Linked DNA regions of Mus musculus: all the other regions are reported to be linked to region 1. Evidence: microRNA targets listed by miRTarBase, many of them from high-throughput screens and not tested one by one. Region 1 holds a microRNA gene; each other region holds the end of a gene's coding sequence.
What was found. The annotated mature microRNA mmu-miR-876-5p reads UGGAUUUCUCUGUGAAUCACUA and lies in region 1 at 1,324-1,345, shown strand. An mRNA with a match to its seed (bases 2 to 7 or 8) in the 3' UTR can be bound and repressed. Matches are read on the target gene's strand: a 7mer-m8 pairs with bases 2 to 8, a 7mer-A1 pairs with bases 2 to 7 and ends in A, and an 8mer does both.

Region 1 (4,248 bases):
TTTTCAACTAAGTAATTTCTCACAGAAACCTCCTGCTATGACTGGATAATGTGGACTCTAAAGCAATCTATGTGGACCCTTTTTAAGGAACACAATTGTTCTTGTTGGTTTTATTTATTTTGTTTTATCTGTTTCTTGAAGCTAGGGTATGTATTGGGTTTGCATTTACTTCCTTATACCTGGCAAGCATTATGTACGTCATATACCAGCCATACGGTAAGTATATATGAATGTGTAAATAATTTTACAATTTATTTTCCACTTAAAGTTTTTCCTTGCTTAGCCAGCCAGTCTGGCCTTACTTCCCTGTTTTACTTGGGAATGCACAGTGATATGTAGTGACAGTTTTGAACACACTAAGATGTTAGATTTGCAAATTTCTGAAAAATATTGTATGTTAATTATTATTGACATTCATGGTATACATACAAAAAGTCAAAATTCTCAAATCCATAGATGGCCTGAGAGATATAATCCTAGTCCATTAAAATTTAAAAATTATTTTCTTTTTAATGATCATAAATTAAAATTCTAGTTTTCTTTTAAATCTTTAGATAAATGTTACCATTGAAGCAAACATAACAAAGGAGAAAAACGAAAGATGTTTCATTCCTGTGAATTTATTAAAGCAGTGCCCATTAGAGATTTTTTTCAGTTACTTTGGTGTTTTGTTTTGTTTTGTTTCTCAAAGCTGAACCTAGTGAGGAAACTAACATATATTTAAGTAGCCTCAGAGAGTTTCAGCCAATCACATGCAGAACTCAAACTTAAGATAGAAAAAAAATCAGATAAAATCTAAGAACTTATGCAAAATACATGTAGGCTAACTGAGACTATTTTTAGAGCAAAACAACCACATCATGTGTATGTTGTAATGTGAGATGCACGTATGAAATGTCATTCCTTATTTTACTTCTCTCCTCCCACAGGTTATATTAATATCCATATCTCAATTCTATGAGCATAGTGGGCATTTTACTTCTCTTTCATCTCTTGGTTGTTCTTGCTCATTCCTCTAATTGATCTACCTTGATACATAATACGGAAAGTATAATTTGGTTTTATGTATTTTTCAGATTTTTTCAGTGTTTCTTATTATTTTACCAATTAAAAATGTATATATTATAATACTATATATATAAAACCTGTTGATTCATGAATGTTTATTCTCTTGCTCAAATGTTGTTAAAATTAAATTAAATTATATTTTAATGCCATATGAACGATAAAAAGATGTCTTGAATAATTTTTCAAACTCTGGGCATGGTAGCATATAATTTTTATGTTCATGTGTACAAGCATTACATAAACTGTCACGTGCTATGGATTTCTCTGTGAATCACTATATCAAATCTAGTGTGGTAGTGGTTTACAAAGTAATTCATAGTGCTTCACAGGTGCTCCTACAGTTGATCTGTATTTTGAAACCTAGGATCCTTCATTGGGCCATTGAGAACAAATCCTTAAGCTATAAGATTTAAACCTTTCATAAACAGTTACTTTGTTAATTAGAGAACAAGAAGCAAAGATATGTCAAGCACTGGAAAATTAAGCTACATATATTGTAACTTGCTTGTAATATAACACCTGAGAAGCTGAGGCAGGAGGATGGCAGCATTTGAGGACTGCCTATTACATATTGCCAGGCCATCTCATATCTCATATATATATATATATATATATATATATATATATATATATATGTATATATATATATATATACACACACACATATATATGTGTGTGTGTGTTTGTGTGTGTGTGTGTATTTTACATTTATGCACAGTCTGTTCTTGTTTTTTTTAGCAACACCTGCCCCAACAATTGGCAGTATGCCCTATTTTTAAAAATGCAGTAGATCCAAAACAAAAGCACTGAATTGACATCTGCACCCATTAATTATAAGTGAAACATTTTGAAATTTAATTCTGTTACTATTACTTGGACAAATATATATATATATATATATATATATATATTAATAAAGAGGAAACATTTTTACAGAGAGCTTATCCAGTGACTTTACTGATTATGCAATTCAAATAGAAATTAATCAGGGAATTTATAAACATCATTATTTTAAAATAATTTTAAAAGTAACTAAATTTTAATACTATTCAAATGATACAGACACAGAATTAGCCAAAATATACAAAATTGTATACTTAATTTGCCATTATTTATCATTAATTCTCTACAAATTTAGCTTCTGTCATCTTTTAATGGCAAAGAAATTTAGTAAGAGTCTAAAGCCATCGTCAATGTTTGAGAACTTGGATTGTGCATCAAGAGAACCAGGGTACAATTTGCTGCACACCTGCATCATATGCATCACAGAAACCAATAAGTTCAGCTGAAGAGATCTGACACTCTCTATCACTCTCTATTGGCCTATGTTGGACCTTACACTAATGTGCATGTTCCCACACACAGATGCACTCATATACATACTCATAGTGTTAGAATAATCTTTAAAATGAGTAAGTTTCACAAGGCTAAAGAGTATAGTTGCTATCATGTTACCTACCAGTTGCTGGGAAACAACAGGAAGTTCATGGTTATTACCCTCATTAGTGTTGTTAAATGTGCTGATTCTAGAAACAGAAACCCAACCTTTCACCATTAGTTTTTCAATCGCTGGTATAAGCTCCAAAAATTTTGTTTAGTTTTGGTATATGAGCTCTTCTATTTGAAGGCTAGAACTTAGGTGTAATCTAAGCTCAGTCATATGGCAACAAGATTTTCGTAGTGATAGATTGTATTTATCTCCGATTTCTTGTGACACCATTACATTCCTAAATGATAATGAACAGGATTCTGAAATTACTTATGAATCATCATTGAATCAATCTATTATTTCTCTTCTGAAGTTATTTTTGTCTTGCTATATTAGAGCTAATACATCTTGTTTACAAGTTTAGGTATCATTACAATGTCCTAACAAATCAAAAAGTTTTTCCATTATACATTAAAAAATAAATCTTAAAAATAAAAATATATGTTACATAAATAATGATACTTTATTTGAGCCTCTGTAATTTAAATAAATCACATATGATGCAGCTGGAGAGAATCCCCACAAAATTATCTCCAATTTTAAAATAGGGTTTGAATGTGTTATCCTAATTTCTTAGGCTTTACTTCAGCATCAGTTATAATTGTCATTATTTTCAATTACAACTGCATATTTCTTTTTCTTAATACTCTATATTTCTAAGTATGTTCTTCATAGCAGTAAAACCATGTTATGATTGAAAATTCCACTCCTCTTAGAGAAGGGAATAAATGAAATAGAGCCAGAATAACAGGTTTTGGGCATAAAGCTGTTCTATAGCTTTGTGATTTGTTACTGTTTTTTAAAGAGATGCTTATCATATTTCCTCTGAGCTAAAGCTTGGTTTTAATGCCAATATTTAGTATTGTTGCTATGTAAATATTGAAGTAAGCGACAGAATTTTCTAAGAGATTTTTAGTTACTAGACCTAACAACAGGGTCACCAAATTTATCAAATAGCCATATATCCAAAACTCTTTTCATAAGTCTAACATCAAGTTGTATTTATATTAATATACTACTGGATGCTTTTATTCCTACTTTAAGTACATATAAGCAGAGTTACAGAAAAGCAGTTAATTTTAAGTGTAGTTTGGATAGAACATAAACTCTAAATTGGACTTGCCCTAAACACTCGTAAATTTTCTAAAATCTATGTGAAAATATATATTTTGAAAGGAGTTTACTAGGCCAACTTTATTCAGAGAAACTAGCAGTATTTATATATTGAGAGAGATTTATCTTGAAGACTTTCTCAATCATGGAAGTAACACAAGTCTACAACATAATGGGAGATGCCAGTAGACTAAGGAACTGGAGTTCAAATCTGAAGGCTTAAACCCTTCTCTTTTTAAAATATTTTTATTGGATATTTACTTTATTTGCATTTCAAATGTTATCCCTTTCCCCTGTTCCCACCCCCCGAAACTCCCTACCCCCTCCCACGCCCCCTGCTTCTGTGAGGGTGTTCCCCCACTCACCTACTCCCACCTCCCTTGCACATGAATCCCCCTATTCTGGGGCATTGAACCTTCACAGGACCAAGGCCCTCTCCTTCCATTAATGTCCTACAAGGCCATCTTCTGCTACATATTAGCTAGATCTATGGGTTCCTCCAAGTGTACTCCTTGTTTAGTCTCTTGGTTTAGTCTCTGGGGGTCTGACTGGTTGATATTGTTGTTTTTCCTATGGGG
Region 2 (4,248 bases), not on the chromosome of region 1:
GGAATGAAAGAACGTTCCTCCGGGAGTCGGCGGCCTCGGGGCGGAGAGTGGTTCTGTCTCCCCGCGCCACACAAGCGCTCATCCAGCTCCCCTTCTTACGCGGTGAGGACCCGCCTCTACGCGCGAGGCGGCCGGGCTTGCCAGAGCCGGAAGCCCGGGCACCGCCGCTCCCAGAGCACCCGGTACCGCCCGGAATCCGGGCTCGGGCCGCCGCGGGACTTCCGTCTCGCCGTTGCGGTGGAGGCAGCCCTCCAGTGCCCACGCTCCAGCTTCTGGAACACCTCGCGGTACCCCCCGGGTCCCGAGACCCAGCCGCTCGCACCCGCTGTCCTGCCAATCGGTCTACTGGCCGCGGCCGGAGCAGGTACCCGGGCTCCACGGACGTCACAATTCCCCGCCAAAACGGCACGTCTTCCCCCAAGGAACCGCTCAGTCGGGCGGGACTTCCGGGAGCTGCGTCTGCGTTCCCGCCTAGCCTGCTAGTAGCAACTCCTCCCGCTTTTGGTCGCTCGGCTACTGTAGGCTGCAGAATCTTGCTTACTCAAGTAACTCTCTAAACCAAGATCCGAACAGGAATTTTTGTAATTATTCTTTCAGTATTCTTTAGGCTACCCTTCTCCTAACAAAGCTTTCTAAAGTTCTTAGTGCTAAAAGAAGAAATTACAACAAATTTACCTTAAAGATTTTTCTTAGCATTTATTTGCAACACTAGCATTTTATAGAATGAGCAGCAGATATTGGCCTTATAGACAAGTGACGCTCAAGGAGAGCAGCAACAAAGAGTTACACCTGTGGTTTCAAAGAATCCTTGTAAAGGTTAAATAAGGTGGGGGTGATATCCTTATGGTACTGGCTAAAACAGCAATGTAGAGATTTGGCTGTTATTGCTTTCCCTCTTGTTTTGGGGGTGCTTGGCTTGGGCCCTCTACCCCAGACTTTAGCATGAGTAAATGCCTATTGGGTTTGGTATGTGGAGTCTGAAGAACTCAACAAGAGACCCATTTCTATAATCAATCCCAGCATTTGGGAAGTAGTCACAAAAGGATTATTATAAACTAGCCTTGGCTACATAACTGGTTCCAGGTCAACCTGGGCTATATGAGACCCTTCCTCAATTGGTCAGCTGGTTCCCAAAACATTGCAGGCAGAGGCAGGAGGGTCTCTGTGAGGTAGAGATCAGCCTGGTCTATACAGTGAGTTTAGTAAGAGACTCTGTTTCAAAAAGGAAGGAAGGAAGGAAGGAAGGACCTCTGAACTAGGCATGGACACGTGTGTCTTGTAATTGAGGCATTTAGGTAGCAAAGGCAGAGGCAGAAACAGGAGGACCTGGAGTTGGAGTCTGTGATGGTTTGCATATCCTTGGCCCAGGGAATGGGACTATTAGAAGGTGTGGCCCAGTTGGAGTAGGTGAGTCACTATGGGTGTGGGCTTTAAGACCCTCATCCTAGCTGCCTGGAAGCAGTATTCTGCTAGCAGCCTTCAGATGAAAATGTAGAACTCTCAGCTCCTCCTGCACCATGCCTGCCTGGATGTTGCCATGCTCTGGCACCTTGATAATGGATTGAACCTCTCAATTTGTAAGCCAGCCCTGATTAAATATTGTCATAAGAGTTGCCTTGTGGCCAGGCGTGGTGGCACACGCCTTTAATCCCAGCACTCGGGAGGCAGAGGCAGGTGGATTTCTGAGTTCAATCCCAGCCTGGTCTACAAAGTGAGATCCAGGACAGCCAGGGCTATACAGAGAAACCCTGTCTCAGAAAAACCAAACCAAAAAAAGAGAGAGAAAAAAAAGAAAGAGTTGCCTTGGTTATGGTTTCTGTTCCTCAGATCTGTGACAACTTGGCATTTATACTTCTTTCTGTGTCACAGTCCACTGAGGTCTTCAGCTTCCTTTCTAACGACTTAAGGCCCACAAGCTTGGCAGAAAGTAGCAAGACTGTCCTGGAGCTGTGGCTGAGACACTGACATAGGTGCTGGGAGTGGAACTCTGGTCCTCTGGAAGAACTATACATGCTCTCAGCCACTGAGTCATCTCTCCACCCCTATTATTTCATGCTTTCAATTGATTAATTGCCCTTCAAAAGGCATTCAAAATTCAAAATGTTCAAATTGAGCAAGCAGTCTGACTCTTCCTAGGGAAATATAAAGAAATGTCTGTTTCGCCTAGACAGGGCAAAGACAGACCAAAGAAGAGATTCCAACCAAGTCCAGCGTGGTGAACCAATGAGTTCATTGGTCTTACAGGAGCATGGGTGTGGGTTACTTACAGAGGCATGGATGACTTGAAGGCAAACCATCTAAAATCCCCACCTCCGTGTGGGGATGACCCCCAAAGCTGCACCACTGCATTCTGAACCCCAATCAACTGCCCACCTCCTGTACAGTCTAGCGTCCCACCTCCTGTACAGTCTAGCGTCCCACCTCCTGTACAGTCTAGCGTCCCACCTCCTGTACAGTCTAGCATCCCACCTCCTGTACAGTCTAGCGTCCCACCTCCTGTACAGTCTAGCGTCCCACCTCCTGTACAGTCTAGCGTCCCACCTCCTGTATAGTCTAGCGTCCCTGAAGATTAGGTGTGGCTGGAGCAAGAGTATGTACAGCCTAGGTCTGGGGTTGGAGACTCAGGGGAAAGTAGCATTTCCCTTTTCCATCAACGAGGAAATGGCAGTAGGACTGATCTCATGACCCTGTGCTGTGGCCAATCACAGCTTCTCTGATTCGAGACAATGATGTCATGTCCTGTCTAGAGAAGTTCTACTAGCCAGTGAAAACAATTTCTTTCCCTTTGACTCTTAGATTCTTAGTCCTCTACCCCCACCCCCCCCAAAAAAACCCCACATCACTTAAGTATCACTGCAGAAGTGGATATATCTAAACTTATACACAGTATCCTTTGAAGATATTATAGGTATGCTGGGCAGCCATGGCTATCCAGCACTTGGGAAACAGAGGCAGGCAAATATCCAGGTTTAAAGCCAGCTGAGGCTACAGACACAGAGAAACTATGTCGTGAACAAAAAATTGTGTGTGTGTGTGTGTGTGTGTGTGTATAAAATTGTTTTTGCCCCTTTTTGTATATAACATTATAAATAAAACACCAAATCTGAGTAATGATTCCATATAAATTTCTTTATTATGTATTTGGTGGTATCAGGGATTGAACTCAGGGCCTCATACATACAAAAAAAAAATGTAGCTGGGTGGTGGTGGCGCACGCCTTTAATCCCAGCACTCGGGAGGCAGAGGCAGGCTGATTTCTGAGTTCGAGGCCAGCCTGGTCTACAGAGTGAGTTCCAGGACAGCCAGGACTACACAGAGAAACCCTGTCTCGAAAAACCAAAAAAAAAAAAAAAAAATGTACTCTGGGCTACACCCCAAATTCTACTTCATTATAAAATATTTGCTTCTTTTTCAAATATGGCTACACACACAATGTACATTGTATCCATTTGTCATAATTTCTTTAATGTTCCTTCCACTTTTGCTATAAAATAAGCCTATAAAAATTAAATTATGCATTTTTTTGGTTTTTAAAATACAAATGACCGCCGGGCAGTGGTGGCGCACGCCTTTAATCCCAGCACTTGGGAGGCAGAGGCAGGTGGATTTCTGAGTTCAAGGCCAGCCTGGTCTACAGAGTGAGTTCCAGGACAGCCAGGGCCGTACAGAGAAACCCTGTCTTGGGGGAAAAAAAATACAAATGACCGAGAGTGGAACTGCTGGGTCAAAGGTAACAGGTTAGTCTTTAACTGGGGGCATCAACTCTTTTAGGGGTGCCCTTGAGTTTTCAGGGTCCTGTGCTTGTTTCCCCTTCTCGATGATCTGAACAGCTCTAAGCAATCCATCCTGTAGAGCCTGGTTCTTTACCATGTTGGTGATCATGAAGGAAACATCTTTGATGTACATCCGTCTTACGTTGGCAGCATAGTGCTCTCCTTTGTTGCCATGTACAATGAAGAAGGTACAGAGTGCTGAGACATCCCTCTCCTGCAGCCCGTACTCCTGCAGGACAGACTCCCACACAAGCCTAACATGCTTGTTCTTGGCTTTTCTTCTAAGGACAGAGGCTAAGGTCGGGAGACTTCTCACCAGGTCTGGGAGTTTCTGAAGCATTCGAGTGTGCAAGCAAATAAGGACCTCGATGACATAGCTGTATACAATATTCAGTTCCATTGAGGTGAACCTATGAAAAACGGGCAAAGCTCCTTAAATGGAACATTTCATGCACAAACAAAAGCTGCATTTGAT
Region 3 (4,248 bases), not on the chromosome of region 1:
GGAACGTTCCAGAAAAAAGGCAAGCCTTAGGAATTTTTATAAAATATAATTTATTTTACGTGCGTTAGTGTTTTATCTTCATGTCTGTGTAAGGGTGTCAGATCTTGGAGTTACAGAACATGGTTAGTTGCCATGTGGGTGCTGAGAACTGAACGCAGGTCCTCTATAAGAGCAGTCAGTGCTCCCAACCGCTGAGCCATCGCTTCAGCCTCAGCCTTCGGATTTTTAGCATGCTCTTTCAAAGAAGGCCAAGGGCTATTTGGTGTCCAAATAGCAAGAGATAAGCGATCAAAGACTCCAAAGGCAAGTCCGAACCAAACATTAAAAATGAGAAAGATCAGAAAGGACCACATCAGAGACATCCATCACCGGGCAGAAGTCAATCTCGAAGATATGAGTGTAGAGCTAGGAGAGAAAAGGTGGGAACCAAGCAGGCCACTCGAGTGGGTATGATGTCACCAGGATGAAGCCCCACTGTCACCAACTGGAGAAACCTATCTGCAGGAGCAGCGCCATGAACAGGTGTGCCAAGTCAGCATTTTCACCCTTCTCTCAAGTTGCTTGCAGTCACATCAACAGATCATAATGGCAGAAATAAAGTGTTCCCTCACTCCGGTCTCCTCCAGTTACGGAGTCTGACCACCGCCAATGGGAAAGCTGAGAACCTTTCATCATGGAACACATTTGTGAAACGCATTGGCTTTAACAAACTGTTCCCCACACACACCTGGCCTGCATGGTCTCCTCTGACCAGCGCATGCTATATCATATTCAGAAAGTGCTTATAGGCTCCCACTTGCATGGAAAAACACCAGCAGCTGACAGAAAAATGAAACCCCATCTTGGCTCTGGAGAAATGATCCCATCAGGGAAACGCATAAGGCTATTTGATGAGATTTAATAAGCTCTAACGAAATCCAGGTGAGGGGCTCTATCTGGAAAACCCCAGAAGATTCTTATGAACAGCTCCAGGAAATCACTCAGGAAAGGAAACGGGATGCAAAACCTTGCACCACCACAGTAAAAGAGCAACCAGGATTCAAACTCCACGAATGGAGAGCTCTCGTATAATCCGGTCGGAAGATGCCTGGCTCCAGTATCCTGGTTTCTCTCATTTGTGCTTACTGAGTTTTATATAGTCACATAAAACCATATGTGTACATGTTAAATGAAAGTAGAAGGGAGAATGTATGATGCAGGGGGAGGGGGGAGAAAAGAAAGTAGAATATATATGCATACATATATATGTATGTATTCAAAATGCAATATAGAAACATATTCTATAGAAATAAAATCTCAAAAAGTCTTGAGGTTGAAAGACTTTCCATTTCCCTCCATCCCCTGACACCTCACACTTGGTCTTGGATGTAATCAACTTTAAAATACCTCTTCCCTTCTTTGAGACATGTTCTTGTGCTGTAGCTCAAGGTGGATGGAAACTAAAATCTTCTTTCTCCATCTCCTGACTGCTGAATTACAAATGAGTACCACCACACCTGGGCCAAAACATTACTTTTAATTCTACATCAAACACACACTTGCATACACACAATTGTAAACAAGAACATCACAGAGCCAACCCTAAACCTATCTAGTCTGTAATGTTCTGAAGGCGGGACACAAGGGACACCGTTCCTACAGTTTAAGAGAAGCAATTCCTCATCCAGTAAGACCTGCTATATTTTATGTGCAGAGGCAGAAATCCATGTCTGCCACTCAGGAGAGCATGCTTTGCCATGTGCAACTACTCAGTGACATATAGGCACGCTGTTTATAGAGCCCTAGTGTGCCCTTATTGGCTTTAAGTTTGAAACCCTAAGCCCCAGTATGTGTCTCTGCTAAGAATAGGGCTCTCCAAGCCTACAAATGTTGAGAGAGCCAGGAAGGGAACGGCTCCCACTGTGGGAAAACCCAAAAGATGGACCAAGGCCACAGCCTGAGCAAACAGAGCCACTGAAAATGCTCAAACCACCTGCAAGCTCTGTCATAGAGCCCAGGATCCCTGAGGACATTCTGTCCTAAGCTCCCAACACCTCGGACACAGGGCTGACCCCACTCAGAGGGGGTTACATGAAATAAAGTGCCCATATTAGGTCCTTCAAGGGAGGTTTTAAAAGTCTCTGGCTAACATCCAACTCAATTCTAAAATGAATCTTCAGTCTTGGGGAGGAATAAGCGAAGAGCTGCAGCTTTGTGGACTCTCATGGTTTTTCTATTCAAACTCCACTGCCAAACAGCTGTGAAATTAAACCAGCACTCCTTGATGGGCTTCCATGAAAGAGACCACCCCAGGGGCAGGGGCAGGAGGTGGGCCTCAGTGGTGAGAGCTTGCTTGCATATTAGAGAACATGGGTTCTATTCCCAACCCCTTGCATTGTATACAAATAAATGAAAGAAACACGCACTCGCGTGCACACACACACCCCAAAAACAATGATCACTCAAAGTCATCAACTTTGGGCCACTTTTTATCATAATATATTTGCCAATATCTAAGGGATAGATGGGCAGGGGGTAAATTTTCTGTTCACAATCCTTCAACAACATAGAGATGGCTGAGGGACAAGCACATTGGTAGACAGCAAATGCCGCTTTCAGCCTCCCAGGCAAGTGGTTTTAAATACATAAACAATAAAGGTATGATTTCAGTAGATCTCTGTTTAAATCTATGCCGTCTCTTATTGCCCAACCCTCCTCCCATTTCCCACACAGAAATAACAAACCCAAGCGAAGAGTGCCACCACATCTTACAAACAGGTCACATGTGTACAAACAGGTCAATGGTACAGATGCAATCCTTTTCTATAAATACCTGGAGCAAATGGGAACTCTCTCATCCCTAAGGACCTATCCTTGCTCCTGCTCAGTTACTGCTCAGGTAACCATTCCTTAGCTGGACACTTGTGGGGTCTCCTGTGAGTACCAGAAGCCCGTCCAGGACTAGGTAGAAATCCTGCCACCTCCCCACAGAGAAGAGATGATAGGAAGATAGGACCTGGGGCTGACTAAGCTGTTTCTTCCCAAGAACTAGAGACTGTTTCTTGGCAATGGCCCAGAGGGGTGGTGGTGGCGCACGCCTTTAATCCCAGCACTTGGGAGGCAGAAGCAGGCGGATTTCTGAGTTCAAGGCCAGCCTGGTCTACAAAGTGAGTTCCAGGACAGCCAGGGCTATAAAGAGAAACCCTGTCTCGAAAAACCAAAAACAAAACAAAAAAAAAAAGAGAGAGTGTGAGGAAGTTAAAAAAACAAAAACAACCTCTGGGTACTTTGATAGGAAAAAAGAAAGAAAGCTTGATAATCAGTGGAACCCTGTCAAGCCAATATATCAAATTCACCAGAGGGAAACCATGAGCGCTCCCTGTAGGAAGATCATAACTTAGCACCAATTTCTTTTGACTCTGGAGTTTTTCCTTCTCCTTCCAGCCTGTGGAGGGACTGTGGGGCTCAGCTTAGCCTCATCAATACTTTTAATCAGTAACGAGTGTGAGGGGCACATGGTCACACGCCAGAGAGCGAATAGCAGCTCACACCAGAGAGGCAGCTTCCCTCGTGTGGATCATGCTGCCATGGGGGGAACGTGAGGGACCTCAGAGTCTCTTCCTGGCCACTCCGGGCCGCCGGCTTTACTCAAAGCGACGAAGGTGGTTGTAGAGCGACTGCACATAGGTGAAGACACACATGGGGTCCGGCTTGCGGCCCATCACCATCATATCCTCCACTTCAATGAGGCGCTCACAGTTGGCCAGATTCCTGAAACACAGAAGCCCCATCAACACATGGTCCTCGTGAATAACCAGTGCCACAACTGAGCTTCTATTAGCACTCTCCCCAAACTCAATTCGCCTTGAGTCTGTGGTGCTCAAGTGCACACCAGAAGGGAATTCAAGGTCTCCAAGAGAACCCTGGGAGCTGCTGAGTCCGTGGGGCGTTGCCCAGACTCCCACAGACACAAACCACGTAAGCAGTTCACACGGAAGTAAAGAGATGACACAAGTCAATATCTCGTGACAATTGGCAAGAACTGTGAAAGCAAATGTAAAATTGAGGCAAAATGATAACTTCACCCATCTGCTTCCTCTCACTGTATGCTTGGTTTTTATTTTATTTTATTGTTTGTTCTCTGTGTGAAGCCTTGTCTGTCCTGGTACTTGCTCTGTAGACCAGCCAGCTTCAAACTCACAGAGATGAACAGCCTCTGCCTCCCAGTGCTGGGATTAAAGGCATGTGCCACCACAGCCCAGCTAGTTT

Region 2: the mRNA of Smco1 is a reported target of mmu-miR-876-5p. Seed matches in the 3' UTR shown: 8mer at 3,603-3,610.
Region 3: miRTarBase lists Smtnl2 as a target of mmu-miR-876-5p. Seed matches in the 3' UTR shown: 7mer-m8 at 3,112-3,118.

The regions. Positions count from the first base shown.
Region 1 is chr4:36,642,519-36,646,766 of GRCm38, reverse strand. Mir876 (microRNA 876) reads left to right here and starts at 1,314; the gene lies at 1,314-1,394. All of the region lies in intron 2 of Lingo2 (leucine rich repeat and Ig domain containing 2), which reads left to right.
Region 2 is chr16:32,273,648-32,277,895 of GRCm38, reverse strand. Smco1 (single-pass membrane protein with coiled-coil domains 1) reads right to left here. Exons shown (of 3, transcript NM_183283.3): 3 at 3,115-4,183. The coding sequence ends at 3,739. It overlaps Rnf168 (ring finger protein 168), which reads right to left and starts at 435. Exons shown (of 6, transcript NM_027355.2): 1 at 1-435.
Region 3 is chr11:72,387,664-72,391,911 of GRCm38, forward strand. It overlaps Smtnl2 (smoothelin-like 2), which reads right to left. Exons shown (of 8, transcript NM_177776.3): 8 at 2,451-3,750. The coding sequence ends at 3,624. Mir6338 (microRNA 6338) reads left to right here and starts at 1,093; the gene lies at 1,093-1,201.